Linked DNA regions of Xenopus tropicalis. The protein of the gene in region 1 purifies or fractionates together with the protein of each later gene. This does not show direct contact. Links are inferred from orthologs where the notes say so. Each region holds a gene or a part of one and is shown on either strand. Other genes may lie near its edges.

The links. Proteins that work in one complex are often made in the same cells at the same time.
Region 2: the proteins of ap1g1 (region 1) and ap1m2 purify together in Homo sapiens (affinity purification with mass spectrometry; 4 studies listed by BioGRID and IntAct, counting the BioPlex papers as one, with this or other methods). This does not show direct contact. The link is inferred for Xenopus tropicalis from reciprocal best matches to the Homo sapiens genes AP1G1 and AP1M2.

The regions. Positions count from the first base shown.
Region 1 is NC_030680.2:59,344,713-59,348,283, reverse strand, and holds part of ap1g1 (AP-1 complex subunit gamma-1), read right to left. Parts: coding exon 3,432-3,571; intron 2,962-3,431; coding exon 2,837-2,961; intron 1,768-2,836; coding exon 1,626-1,767; intron 900-1,625; coding exon 803-899; intron 710-802; coding exon 633-709; intron 1-632. UniProt on the Homo sapiens protein: Subunit of clathrin-associated adaptor protein complex 1 that plays a role in protein sorting in the late-Golgi/trans-Golgi network (TGN) and/or endosomes.
Region 2 is NC_030679.2:138,232,245-138,235,815, reverse strand, and holds part of ap1m2 (AP-1 complex subunit mu-2), read left to right. Parts: intron 1-231; coding exon 232-379; intron 380-560; coding exon 561-687; intron 688-1,843; coding exon 1,844-1,986; intron 1,987-2,119; coding exon 2,120-2,191; intron 2,192-3,299; coding exon 3,300-3,458; intron 3,459-3,571. UniProt on the Homo sapiens protein: Subunit of clathrin-associated adaptor protein complex 1 that plays a role in protein sorting in the trans-Golgi network (TGN) and endosomes.

The DNA of each region.
Region 1 (3,571 bases):
AACATACAAAACTTCACATTAGTAGGGGAAATCCACCCTTGATTATTTATTACTTATTATTACTAACCACTAGGGTGGTGCTGGCAGTGGTTAAAAACCTTTTGATCACATCAGTGAAAAAACATGCACTATTCCACACAGTGCCATATATTTTAAATATATTTAGTGATCCTTGTGGAGGAAATTTGAGTGCAAACATTTTTTTTTTACATTAAGCTTATGTGCTAATCAAAGGGAAAAATGTGCCACATTTTACCAATTTATCCATACTGCAAATATTATTTCCATGCATTACAGTGTAAATGCAGGAGCCGGAAGATTTGTGCCTGCTACCATATCTGCTAACTGTATTTGAAAAAAGTGATTTTTATATATTTTGTGGATAGCTTTCAGTGCTTAATAGATATTAGCACTGTTCAGTGCTTAATAGATAAGAAGCAAGTTAAGTCTCCACATATAAATCTTGCTCCACCATTTGTTTTATTTTTAATTACTACGAGAAATATTAACCAGAAGAATAAAAAAATAGCTGAGATCAAATAACTGGGCTTACAAAATGTACAAATCACATTGCTAATATAAAATTAAACCCATACATACACAAATCAAAAGCCTCTAGTTATATATCTTACCTTCCTAAAGTGAGTGAGCATGTCTGGACTCCTCTCACACATCTCTGTCAGAAGCACAACGGAGGTGTGAAGCACTCCTATGCAGAAAACAAAACATTGTCAGAAGTTTAATATTACAGACAATAATCACAAAATACTGGTGTCAAAAGCCAAATCCTTTTTCTACATACCATGGTTTTTTTCATTCAGCAAGTTTTTTGTTGCAGGCAAAAACATTTCCATGAGCTCTGGGACTTTTCTGATGACATGAACTGCACACAATGCCGCCTGGACACATGAACAAAGCAGAAACAATAAATAGCGAAATAATGCACATAACTAACTTTTAGGGAAATGTAAATACAGGTATAGGATTTATTATGCGGAATGCTGGAGACTTGGAACTAATGGTGGCCATACACGAGCAGATCCGCTCGCTTGGCGATGTCGCCAAGCGAGCGGATCTTCCCCCGATATCCCCACCTACGGGTGGGCGATATCGGGGACCATTTAGGTAAAAAAAATAATAATCCGATCGTTTGGCCCTGGGGCCAGACGATCGGATTATGTGGGCGGCAATGGGGCAGTCGGATCGGGGACCGCATCAACGAGCCGATGCGGTCCCCGATCCGACCACATTTTCTAACCTGGCCGATCGAGATCTGGCCAATTTCAGACCAGATATCGGTCGGCCAGGCTGCTCTGCTCTCCCCATACACGGGCCGATTAGCTGCCGAATCGGTCCAAGGGACCGATATCGGCAGCTATAGTCGGCCCGTGTATGGCCACCTTAAGAGTTGTGCCACTTAAACGGAGAATGGGAACATTTCCACATGCGTATCTGATATGTTACACATTTTTCAGACCTGACAACATTTTAGTATTCCGTATAGCATGCCAACCATAACAGTTTGATGTTTTATGTTTATTACATATGAACTTCTTTCAACCGTCTCATATATATAAGATATATATATATCCAAAAGTATATGCATATACATAATCCAGCAATACCTTTTTTCGTAGGTAGGAATTTGATGTTTTGAGTAGTTTCTCCACTTCTCCTGCCAGATCTCTGCACATCTCAGCAGATCCCATGCAACCCAGTGTGCAAAGTGCCAAGCCCTGCACATACTGTGTGCTGTGATTTAAGTCACTAGGAAAAAGACAAGCGTTACGTTAAGGCTTTTAGAAATGCTAAGTGTCTATCATCCTATATGCTATAGACATTTACTTTATAAATGGTAATACTGAGTGCAGAAGAAGAGAAATTGTGATTCTAAAAGGAGGAGCCTCTATTAATACAGCCTTAACCCACCCCTCGCCATCTTGAAAGGTAAAACATTTGGCACAAGTAACAGCTGTTTATCTCAGTATACTATAGGTAATGACCATTTGAACAATGGAACATAAGGTCGCTATGTGGTTTTCTGACTGCAAAATGTGTATACTGCTAGACTAAGGACCCTCTAATACTGGCCTACATTTGGTGCTTCGGATTTATTTGATTACACCATGTCTAAAGGCTTCAACATGCTACCCACTTCTGGCAATGAGAATTTACTGGTCCGTCAAAAGTGTGGGTGGTTGGGGAGATATCTCCTATGTTTTATGTTTAAACAGAAGGCTGAAGTAGAATTGAAAGTGTCTAAGGCAAATGAATGCAAATAAGAGCCACAAGCATATATGATCATTAATTAAAAGGAGAAGACAGTAGTCATTTCTGCTTTATTGTTCAGATTTAGGTCATTTCTTAAGAGGGCTATCTGCTATAATGGTCACAAATCTTACTTAGCACCAACTTTTTACAACACTTCTGCAAACATCCCCTTTGCTGAGCTTTTGGACAAGCGCATATTCTTGCAACATTTTTAAATACTAATTGCATGTTTTTCTAGTTTCCTACTTAGTTAAAGATATGATACATTGCGGCCAGTGTTTATCCATGGAAGGACACTACAAAAACACACTTAAAACTTTGGCTTGGTTGCCAAGAAAAGTAAGGAAAAAAAAGCAACTGAAAACCACCTTTCCCTCAACCAATACACTGCCATCATACTTCTACTATAGACCTTTTTTAAGCATCTCAGCAATCTCAAGGGTATGAGAAGCATAGTATACTCAACTCTCTGCTGACCCCTAGTCACTGGCACTGTTCATCCACTCAGTTCTAAAAAAAACAGGCCTACATTTTTCCCAACATCACACTTATTAACACACATTACTTTTTAATGCAGTTGGTCATCAGCAAATGGACATCCTGTCGCTCATCTAGAAGCAGCATTGCTCCCAGGTACCCAATCCGTTTATCTGTGAACTTCTGAGAAGCTATGAGCTTCAAGCACTCCAACTAAAAGAAAAAATCTAAATAAATAGCTGAAATGTAATTATTATGATACCTCCCTAAAATGTACTAACATTTAACATTTTTAAACACTGCCTGGTGTATTTGTGATTAAACAGCCACTTCAATATTACTAATAATTATTAAATGCGGGGGGGGGAGGGGGCCCTACACTTGATTCAAGCCAGGGCACTATATGCAAGGAGATTGTATGTTCTCCCTGATCTTGTTGGGGAACTTCTCCGGCAGGTTAACTGGTTTCTCATAAATTTAACCATAGTGTGTGAATGCAAAATGGAGAACCATGGTGCATGGAATGATGTATAATCTCTGTAAAATGCTGTGGAATATGTTGGTGCTGTATCAATAAAGAATAATCACTAATAATAAAGGAGAGTTAGGTCCTACATGTGCAGTTATCTGATCTTACTCACTGTCACACTAAAATGTCAAGGAAAACACTAATGGGGTCTTACCTGCCCAAAATGTGCAGGATACCCCAACATATGCATGTACAGCAGTTTGGCCACATTACGGCACCGGTATGTGTTGTCTTCTTCACGGAAAGACGAGCGTATTGCAGCACATTCTTTCTGGATCATTTCCCGCTCTTCTG
Region 2 (3,571 bases), on another chromosome or scaffold:
GGGGTGGCCGCTACTCATAGTAGGACCCTGTGGAGCACCAGTTGGGAGGAGAAGGGGCCATCTTGCTCTGCTTTCACCATCTTACTGTACTGTTAGCACCTTGCTCATAGGGCTTAAACATAAACCAATCAGCAGGTAGCATTTAAACATCTGATTGCTATGGGTTACTAGACCTGTAAATCTCTGTCGCCAGTTTATAGCTGATCAGACCCCTTTTTCTGTTATGCCCAGGTATATCACTCAGCAAGGAAACAAATTGGATACAGGCAAATCTCGTGTCCCCACCACGGTGACCAACGCCGTGTCCTGGAGGTCCGAAGGGATCAAGTATAAGAAGAATGAAGTCTTCATAGATGTGATTGAGTCCGTCAATATTCTAGTAAGTAAGGGCTGTAATGTTAGTGTGGTTTGAGAGCTGTTCTGCCCAGGGGCCACCTATGAGTTTGTCCCCTATGAGTAATGGCTTCCGCCGTGGCCCCTTCATCCCATCTCTGGCCCTGGTTCCCGCAATGCAATTTGCCCTCTGAGCTCCAATTTAACACTCTATCTTTGTGTTCCAGGTGAATAGCAACGGCAGCGTTCTACGCAGTGAGATTGTGGGCAGTGTGAAGCTAAAGGTCTTTCTCTCGGGGATGCCGGAGTTACGGCTGGGGCTTAACGACAGAGTCCTCTTTGAACTAACTGGCCGTGAGTTGTGGGGGGGAATAAGCCACCCCTCTGCTAATGCACTCTTCCACCATACCAAGCCACCCCTCTGCTAATGCACTCTTCCACCATACCAAGCCACCCCTCTGCTAATGCACTCTTCCACCATACCAAGCCACCCCTCTGCTAATGCGCTCTTCCACCATACCAAGCCACCCCTCTGCTAATGCGCTCTTCCACCATACCAAGCCACCCCTCTGCTAATGCGCTCTTCCACCATACCAAGCCACCCCTCTGCTAATGCGCTCTTCCACCATACCAAGCCACCCCTCTGCTAATGCACTCTTCCACCATACCAAGCCACCCCTCTGCTAATGCACTCTTCCGCCATACCAAGCCACCCCTCTGCTAATGCACTCTTCCGCCATACCAAGCCACCCCTCTGCTAATGCACTCTTCCGCCATACCAAGCCACCCCTCTGCTAATGCACTCTTCCGCCATACCAAGCCACCCCTCTGCTAATGCACTCTTCCGCCATACCAAGCCACCCCTCTGCTAATGCACTCTTCCGCCATACCAAGCCACCCCTCTGCTAATGCACGCTTCCGCCATACCAAGCCACCCCTCTGCTAATGCACTCTTCCGCCATACCAAGCCACCCCTCTGCTAATGCACTCTTCCACCATACCAAGCCACACCTCTGCTAATGCACGCTTACACCATACCAAGCCACCCCTCTGCTAATGCACTCTTCCAACATACCAAGCCACACCTCTTCCATCTGACAACTCAACCAATCCCTTCAGGGCCCCATATCAATTCAGAATTAATTCAAACTATTCCCCAAACTGTCTCCTTCCTTCTTCCCTTATCTTCTATCCCCCTCGGTCATTACCTTCTCCAATATGAGCTACTGGGGGCATAGATCTTCCCGGCTAAAAGCCCAAAACTTAAGGTGTAGCATCTCTATCCCAATTCATTGTGGAGTCTTAGTTCCCCTTTAAAGGTAAAACATGTCACAGCTGTTGAAGTACAGTAATAATAACTGTAATAACTTTTATATTAAAGTTCCTTCTTCAGACAGATTTTGATGCAGTGTTCTCTACTGTTTTCAGCCATCTTTTAACTGTTTTCTGAACAAAGCCCCACCCACCCAGGTAACCCAGTCACATGGCTTTGTCTTTCCTTCAAACACAGGCAACAAAAATAAAACAGTGGAGCTTGAAGACGTGAAGTTTCACCAGTGCGTCCGCCTGTCCCGCTTTGAGAATGACCGCACCATTTCCTTTATCCCTCCGGATGGCGACTTTGAGCTCATGTCTTACAGGCTGAACACACAGGTACTGCATTGTCCCACAGGAATAAGTGTTATAGTTCAACTACAGCAAGTGATTTGTATTGTAGAGCTTATCAATATAGCAGCACTAAACAGTCAGTTTGCTTTTTAACAAACATATTTTATTTGTATTTTAGGTTAAACCATTAATCTGGATAGAGTCAGTAATTGAGAAATTCAGTCATAGCCGGCTGGAGATTATGGTGAAGGTAAGACATGGAGTCTGTCCCTCCCACTGCAGGGTGATAGTGACACAGACAGGAGGGGGCTATGGGACACGGAGTCTGTCCCTCCCACTGCAGGGTGATACAGTGACACAGACAGGAGGGAGCTATGGGACACGGAGTCTGTCCCTCCCACTGCAGGGTGATAGTGACACAGACAGGAGGGGGCTATGGGACACGGAGTCTGTCCCTCCCACTGCAGGGTGATACAGTGACACAGACAGGAGGGAGCTATGGGACACGGAGTCTGTCCCTCCCACTGCAGGGTGATAGTGACACAGACAGGAGTGGGGCTATGGGACACGGAGTCTGCCCCTCCCACTGCAGGGTGATACAGTGACACAGACAGGAGGGGGCTATGGGACATGGAGTCTGCCCCTCCCACTGCAGGGTGATACAGTGACACAGACAGGAGGGGGCTATGGGACACGGAGTCTGCCCCTCCCACTGCAGGGTGATACAGTGACACAGACAGGAGGGGGCTATGGGACACGGAGTCTGTCCCTCCCACTGCAGGGTGATACAGTGACACAGACAGGAGGGAGCTATGGGACACGGAGTCTGCCCCTCCCACTGCAGGGTGATACAGTGACACAGACAGGAGGGGGCTATGGGACACGGAGTCTGTCCCTCCCACTGCAGGGTGATACAGTGACACAGACAGGAGGGGGCTATGGGACACGGAGTCTGCCCCTCCCACTGCAGGGTGATACAGTGACACAGACAGGAGGGAGCTATGGGGCACGGAGTCTGTCCCTCCCACTGCAGGGTGATACAGTGACACAGACAGGAGGGAGCTATGGGACACGGAGTCTGCCCCTCCCACTGCAGGGTGATACAGTGACACAGACAGGAGGTGGCTATGGGACACGGAGTCTGTCCCTCCCACTGCAGGGTGATACAGTGACACAGACAGGAGGGAGCTATGGGACACGGAGTCTGCCCCTCCCACTGCAGGGTGATACAGTGACACAGACAGGAGGTGGCTATGGGACATGGAGTTTGCCCCTCCCACTGCAGGGTGACAGACAGCGGGTGGCTATGGGTACCTCCCAGTGTTGCTGCACTAATTATAATCTCTTACACTTTTCAGGCTAAGGGGCAATTTAAGAAACAATCGGTGGCAAATAATGTGGAGATTTCTGTGCCGGTGCCGAGTGATGCTGATTCTCCCAAGTTTAAAACCAGTGTGGGGAGCGCGAAATATGTCCCTGAAAAAAATGTGGTGATTTGGACAATCAAATCATTTCCGGTGAGCTTCATGGGATAAATGATAATAGTGAAAGGTAAATGTGTGGCCCCTGGGCTGATCAGGGCCCCACAGATGCCCCTGCCTGAATTTACATCAAACACGGTCCCTAATCA